Macaca fascicularis: one gene and its partner. The protein of the gene in region 1 purifies or fractionates together with the protein of each later gene. This does not show direct contact. Links are inferred from orthologs where the notes say so. Each region holds a gene or a part of one and is shown on either strand. Other genes may lie near its edges.

Evidence for each region. Proteins that work in one complex are often made in the same cells at the same time.
Region 2: the proteins of NIPSNAP2 (region 1) and HADHA purify together in Homo sapiens (affinity purification with mass spectrometry; 3 studies listed by BioGRID and IntAct, with this or other methods). This does not show direct contact. The link is inferred for Macaca fascicularis from reciprocal best matches to the Homo sapiens genes NIPSNAP2 and HADHA.

The regions. Positions count from the first base shown.
Region 1 is NC_088377.1:74,087,921-74,091,567, reverse strand, and holds part of NIPSNAP2 (protein NipSnap homolog 2), read right to left. Parts: intron 2,498-3,647; coding exon 2,414-2,497; intron 516-2,413; coding exon 451-515; 3' UTR 1-450. UniProt on the Homo sapiens protein: Protein involved in mitophagy by facilitating recruitment of the autophagy machinery required for clearance of damaged mitochondria.
Region 2 is NC_088387.1:95,997,031-96,001,291, reverse strand, and holds the start of HADHA (trifunctional enzyme subunit alpha, mitochondrial), read right to left. Parts: upstream 2,835-4,261; 5' UTR 2,800-2,834; coding exon 2,733-2,799; intron 2,553-2,732; exon of another isoform or gene 2,361-2,552; intron 1-2,360. UniProt on the Homo sapiens protein: Mitochondrial trifunctional enzyme catalyzes the last three of the four reactions of the mitochondrial beta-oxidation pathway.

The sequences.
Region 1 (3,647 bases):
CCCAGCTACTCGGGAGGCTGAGGCAGGAGAATGGCGTGAACCCGGGAGGCGGAGCTTGCAGTGAGCTGAGATCGCGCCACTGCACTCCAGCCTGGGCTGGGCGACAGAGCGAGACTCCGTCTCAAAAAAAAAAAAAAAAAAAAAAAAGATGATTCAGAATTCAATGTGGACCCCTCCTGGAGGGTGGGGAGAAGTGGCTAAGTGTTATAAGGTACACTGGACAACACAGGGGTGTTTCAAAGAGGACAACAGGGCACTGTCACAATCAGTCCAACTGTAATTCTTTCCTTTCTTGTGATTATGTAAATTTTAAAGAAAAGAGGTTTCTCACAAGCTATATACAGCAGCTTAAACCTCAGTGTTTCTTTTTCACGTGATATACAATTAAAATTAATTTATGACAAATACTTGTCACAGAAATGTATGTAGGCACATAGAAACTCTACAGCTTTACTGGAGCGGCGAGGTCTTCAGTGGGATCATGATTCTGGATTCCATTTCCTGAATAAGTGGAACTGAAAATAGGATCAGGGTTACTGCACTTGTTCTTTTCTAAACACATTATGGTAAATGACACTAACAGACAGATTGTGCTGCTTGAAAACAAGAGAATGTCATAATATACAGGATTAGGCCGGGCGCGGTGGCTCAAGCCTGTAATCCCAGCACTTTGGGAGGCCGAGACGGGCGGATCATGAGGTCAGGAGATCGAGACCATCCTGGCTAACAAGGTGAAACGCCATCTCTACTAAAAATACAAAAAATTAGCCGGGTGCGGTGGCAGGTGCCTGTAGTCCCAGCTACTCGGGAGGCTGAGGCAGGAGAATGGCGTGAACCCGGGAGCTGGAGCTTGCAGTGAGCTGAGATTGCGCCACTGCACTCCAGCCTGGGCCACAGAGCCAGACTCGGTCTCAAAAAAAAAAAAAAAAAAAAAAAACATAATATACAGGATTAACCTCAAGGGCAGAAATATAGAAGTGGGCCCTGTATCAGCTGGCATCCTACAAGATGCTATTAAAATTACAACACATCAGCTGGGTGCGATGGTTCACACCTGTAATCCTAGCACTTTGGGAGGCCAAGGCAGGTGGACCACAAGGTCAGGAAATCTAGACCATCCTGGCCAACAGGGTGAAACCCCGTCTCTACTAAAAATACAAAACTTAGCTGGGTGTGGTGGCGCCTGCCTGTAATCCCAGCTATTCAGGAGGCTGAGGCAGGAGAAATCGCTTGAACCCAGGAGGCAGAGGTTGCAGTGAGCCGAGATCGCGTCACTGCACTCCAGCCTGGTGACAGAACAAGACTCCGTCTCAAAAAAAAAAAAAAAAAAAAAGGAAGAAAAAATTACAACAGATGCTACCTGGAGATTTGTTTTATTTGTAGGAGGTGGGGAAAGTCTGTATTGTCTTATTGTGAGAAAAATGGTGATTTCTCAAACGTTCTTTGAGTAAGCAGCAAAATCAAATCAAATTATATAATTATAACATGCAATTATATGTTATATAATCTCTTGAACTAAAAGACAAGGTAACATCTACTTTCTAGGACAAATTACTCTTTTATTTTCTTGGTAGTATATGGGCTGAGATATACTTTTTTTTTTTTTTTTTTTTTGAGACGGAGTCTTGCTTTGTCATCCAGGCTGGAGTGCAGTGGCACAATCTCCACTTCCCAGGTTCAAGCGATTCTCCTGCCTCAGCCTCTCAAATTGAGACAGGTTTCATCATGTTGGTCAGGCTGGTCTCGAACTCCCGACCTCAGGTGATCTGCCCGCCTCGGCCTCCCAAAGTGCTAGGAATACAGGCGTGAGCCACTGCGCCTGGCCAGAAATATACTTGCCATGCAACATGGCTGGTACTGATTACCTCTACCAATGCACTGGGTTATATTCAGCCAACTGTTTTCTTATAAAAATCAAGCAAACAGGGTTTAATAATATACTTATGTATGTGCACATGCATGTATTATGTACCCATGTATACATACTGTACATACAGGAAGTTTAATTTATCTAATTTCAAAATCACTCTTTAATTGATATATTAAGTTCTGATTTGGGATACTAACAATTTTGATGGAAAAGGAAAGCTTAGAAAAAATTTTATTTGTGTAATAAGTTTTCAGACAATATAGAAATCTACAAAGAAAGGTAATGATGTACAATTTACAACATCCAAGGGTCTGAAAACTGTAACAGATGATAAACATATTTGAAAGAATGGATATTCTGCTTTATTGAAAAACGTCACGTAAGTATTAGAGAAAAATTGACTATCTCCCTTCCCCTCCCAACCTGATGACTCACTATCCTAGTAACACACTATTATAAAAGCCACCTATTAGTGTCAGGGTGAAAGAACATGATTGAAACAGTAAGACAAAAAGCGTTATTTCATGGCTATTAAGAGATTACCTGTGTAATATACCAATTCCTCCCAGCCATGTTTGTGCCATGCTGCATTCCGTATGTCTTCCCTGGTCTGAAGATCCCTGTAAGCTTAAAAATAACCCCACAGAGAAGTAAGACTTAAAACATATACCCTGCATTCCACCCATACATATGTTAAGGTCTTGCTTCACCTGGGCATCTAGTTTTCTCAGGGACTACTTCAGGTGTGTAATATACTGGGCTGGGGAAACACTGAGCAAAATTATATTAGGCCATGTGGGAAAAGCAAACTTTCAGTCTTTTTTTTTTTTTTTTTTTTTTTGAGACAGGGTCATTCTGTCAGCCAGGCTGGAGCGCAGTAGCATGATGATGGTTCACCATGGCCTTGACCTCCTACGCTCAAGTGATCCTCCTACCTCAGCCCACTGAATAGCTGGGACTACAGGAAAGTGCTACCACATTGGCTAATTTTTGTATTTTTTTGTGACCAGGCAGACATCAAACTCCTGGGCTCAAATCATCAAACCGCCTCAATCTCCCAAAGTGCTAGAATTACAGGGGTGAACCACCACACCTGGCCCATTCTTAAGTTAAAAAAAATTATTTGCTTGTTTGAGATGGGGTCTCACTATGTTGCCCAGGCTGGTCTCAAACACCTGGACTCTAGCGATCCTCCCGACTCAGCCTCCAAAACTGCTGGGATTTGAGGCGTGAGCCACCACATCCGGCCACAATTCCCTCTTAAGCTTTAAAATCTAGTGAATCTACGATATACCTTTATAAACCAAGTGAACTTCTCCAATAACATGTTAAATTCATGACCAGAAACTGTGAGACCACAGATAAGCAATGTCAGATCAACTTTACTCAACATTTATCTCGCACTACACTGATCTGGGTAGCGGGTGTGTTCCATGTGAAGCCCCAGGATATGAGACAGGCAAGATCAGCCGTGGAGAGTGCTGTGGCCCATGCAAGGACACAGTGTACAGGGGAGCAGGGCAGGCAATGGGAGAGCTGTGGGAAAGGTGCAAGTTGACCAGGTGGGTGTTGAAGTTGAAAAGGACATCACTGATGTAGGAATGGGAAGAAAGGCGCTTCAGGTGGAGGGGGATCACCTGTGTCGTGGTACAATTCACAGGTATCTCATCCAGATGCCTTCTTTCTTTTTTACTTTCCTTTTATTTTTTTTGAGACGGAGTCTTGCTGTTTCCCGAGCTGGAGTGCAGTGGCGCGATCTCAGCTCACTGCAACCTCC
Region 2 (4,261 bases), on another chromosome or scaffold:
TTGTACTCCAGGCTGGGTGACACAGTGAGACTCGGTCTCAAAAAAATAAATAAATAAAAATAAAAAAAAAAACCCCACCATCTATTAAGGTATTTGCCTCTAAATTCATCTCCTGTGAAATTATTTTACTACTTACATAATTAGGAATTTAGATCTAGGATAAGAGTGGGAATTAAGACAACATTTTGGTCAAGAAGTGATTTTCATTTGATATTCACATTCAGAATTATAGCACTTGTAGAGAAAGTATGCTTTAAAATTTCAAGAATTACAAGTCTCCTTCAAGAGAATTTTTTTTTGTTTTTTTTGAGAGATATGGTCTTACTCTGTCTCCCAGGTGTGATCTTGGCTCACTACAACTTCCACCTCCCAGGTTCAAGCGATTCTCCCACCTCAGCTTCCTGAGTAGCTGGGATTACAGGCGCGCACCAACACGCCTGGCCAATTTTGGTATTTTTTGGTAGAGATGGGGTTTCACCATGTGGGCCAGGCTGGTCTCGATCTCCTGACCTCAAGTGATCGGTCTACCTTAGCCTCCCAATATACTGGGATTATAGGCATGAGCCACCCGCCTGGCCCCATTTCAAGAGAATTTTATCATCCACCAGCAAACGTCATAATCTCATTAAATGTTTGGCAAAGCCTTGCACAAACTTTTAGTGTGAAGGATCTATTGAGTCTAAATAGTAATATAAGGGTGCAGGTCATTTTAAATTCACTTTCTAGACTTTTTTCAAAATTTATAAACTGCTATTAATGGACCAGTAACTACAATGAGTGACACTTTCTTACTGGTGAAAACACAATGCAAAATATATATTTATGTGTCTATATATTTCTATACAGAAAAACAGAAAAATTAGGTTGGTAGCTTTTTATTACACATACAAGATGTAAAAATTACTTTTAAAAATTCTCAGACATATACAACCGTATTTCTTCCAGGCTGTAGTTAATAATATTTACTGAGTGCTTACTCCATGAAAAACTGCCTGGTATCTAAAATAACTCCTTTCCATCGCACAAGGTGGTATTATTCCCCATTTTACAAATGAGAAAACACACACAGAAATTAATTGCCCAAGGTCACCAGAGGGTAAAAGGCAGAGCTAGGTCCAAACCCAGAAGTCAGACTCCAAACGACAGGCGCCCGCCACCTCGCCCAGCTAATTTTTTGTATTTTTAGTAGAGACGGGGTTTCACCGTGTTGGCCAGGATGGTCTGGATCTCCTGACCTGATGATTTGCCCGCCTCAGCCTCCCAGGGATTACAGGCGTGAGCCACCGCACCCGGCCCAAACAATGGGTTTAATTGCTCTGTCATGCTACTTCTCATGCAAAGGAAATCTATCATCTCAATCATTCATTTTGCAGATGAGGAAAATAAAGCCTACATTTAGTTTAAGGCATTTGTCCAAAGTCACACAGCTAGTTAGTGACTAGAATCACGTGCCCTGGCTACCACTTCCAAGTGACATCAGCTGCCAATCCATAAGAAATACCTTCAAACCAATACAGGGGTAAGATAAAAATTATACATGTGACTTTTCAAAAGTGTTGTGAAAATAGGGGAAAAAACCACCAAACCTGTAAGGAAATATAACCGAAGGCTAACTGTAGGTAAGCATATGAGTAGTAAGACAATGGGTGATCTTTTTTTTTCATCCCTTTCCTCAATCCTTTCAGCATTTCAAAGTTCTATAATGTGCTTATGTTATAATTGGCACATATATGCGACAGTTTTGTGGAGACTAAAAACAGCAGTTGAAAAAAGGAGGCAGAAAAATAATCCCCTTACAGTAAAGAGATTTCAGCTACGTGGCTAAAAAAAGCATACTACTTCAGAGGTTCCGGAGGAGGAGAGGTAATTCATATTACAAATTAAATTAAAAGTTAAAATTTCTAATTAAGTAAATTATTAAACACAACATGCAATAAAATGTCGTTCACATTTGACTTTACAGATTTGGGATGGAAGGAAAATGCAAGGTTTCCTACAACCACCTACTTTAGCCCTTTCACTGCCAGTTTGAAAAGGAAAAACACTAGCTAACAGAGGTTGACTGGGAATCATCAGATTAGAAATCGTTCTCAAAACCATCTAACATTTTATTCCTTAAGGTAGAGGTATTAGTGTATTTTTAAAGTGTGTCTTCCAGTAAGTTGCAGAACTTCCCGTTGAAATTCAAAATACTATACGTTCACACTGGCATTACTGAAACTGCAGGAGTCGAGCTCCCTACTTGAATGGGGTAGCAAGCACAAAAATGGTTTTGAGGGAACCGAGCAGGGAGGGGCAGTGATCTGCAAGGCTGATTAATCCCATCCAAGGTTTTAAGATAGCTCTTGTCGCGGCGCAAGGTGCTGTGGAGCCACAAAGATGCGACAGAATGGATCCCGATTCTTCTGGAACTCCGGATCAAGAAAATATGAGGGGCGTGAGCCCAGAAGTGCGACGCAGGAGACCCGCGGAAAGGTGACAGAACTAGTGGCACCATACTCAGAAAGTTTGGGAGTTAGGGAGCCTGAAATCGCAGCAGGAGTCGTGAGAGGGTAAGTGACAGTCCCTTCACAAGGTCACAGGAAACGGGGTCCCAGGGCAGTATTCCCCACAGAGGGCTGGGTCTCTGGGCTGGGGCAGGCGACAGCGAAAGGGAGACGCGGCTCCGGGGCCAACCCAGTCCCCGCAGGAGTTCTGCCCGGAGGTCTGGGATGCCCTCGGCCAGGCCTCACCTCGGGAGCGGAGGATCCTGAAGGCAGAGAAGCGGCTGAGGATGCCAATTGCCCGGCAGGCCACCATGTTGAGTTGAAGAGGACAGCAGTAAGAGCGCTTCTAACGGGTGCGGCCAACCGGAGGACTTTTCCTCCCGTAGCCTGGCGACCAGGCGCCTGGCGCACTGCCTGACTAAAACCCAGACGCCGAGTGGCCTCCGGCCCCTTAGCTCTGCACCTCGCTCCTCGCTAACGGGGCCGAAAGGTCCCTTTCTTCGGTGAAGGACTGGGGCCCGGAGAGGAGGGGCGGAGTGCCAGGTTTTCCAGTCAGGCGGCCGGAGGGCAGCCCGCAAGAAAGGCCGTGCCCGCCCGCGGGGTGAGGGGTCCTTTCGGGGCAGGACCCGCCCCTTGGTCCGGCAGAGCTTTGGCACTAGGGCCTGGACCTTTCTCTGAGTAGGAGTTCGAGCGGACGTCAGCCAAGGTGAGACAGCGAGCCCTCAGCTCTCTGCCCGGGCTTTCCCAAAGGCGAGATCCCACTTCCTTCCCTGCAAGTGTCGCCGGTGTCCCCGGCCCCGTCCCCTCCCTGGGAGAGTCGGAGTTGAGGGAGCGGAAGGAAAATCCTCCTCGGACAAGGTCGGCAGTGTTAGCTGCAGTTAGGACAGTGACTTGGACTAGCGTTCCAACTGAAGCTCGGGACAGTGGTGTCACCTGCGCCCTAATTTATCATCGCAAGTTAGCGAAGTCTGGGTGTGTAGGGGTGTGTGTGGATGTGTGTGGGCGTCGGCCTTAACGTAACCCTGGTCTGCCTAGGAGTGTGTGTTGTTTCGCCTGCTTCCCCTGTACCCATGTCGGCGGCTATAGAGATTGTGGACCGCACCATGGGTTTGCCCGGTTTCTGCTATAAAGGATAAGACTAGGTCAGGTGACCTTTCGGTGCTTGAGTGTGGGAGGAACGGAGACAATCCTCCATCCCGCTCGGTTATCCAGGTAATCTTGTGCTCTCGGGGGTTTTCCGATGGATGACTATCTATCTGGTCGTTCACACCTCAACTCACTTCAGCGGTGAAGAAACTGCCTGCGAATCAGAGGGAGTGGTTATACCCATGGCCACATGTGGTAGAAATAAGACTGGAGCCTAAGTCTACTAAGCCCTAGTGAAGAGTTCTTCACTGCATGGTAGCTGTTTTTGTGCTGGAAAGAGGGGCTGGAGTCCTGCAATAAAGTGATTGGTTTCAAAAGGAAGTCACATTGAGAGCCTGGTGTGCTCTGGTCACCTTCATACCTTTTTGTTTAATCCTCACATTCCCCGAATTATTATCATTTGCATTTTCTAGATGAAGTTTGGGAAGCTCAGATTATATACATTTTCTAGTCTATGACAGAGCTAGCATTCAGACATAAGTCTGAGTCTCACTGCTCACCAGACTGACAGCTCTGCAAGACTGGAAACAAGGGGCATCGAAGGTAAGACTGAAATGAGGAGTACAGAAGCAAAGTAGAGACGTTTCTGTTTAAAGCTCAAGTTACATAGTGAGTGCTCATCACTGGGA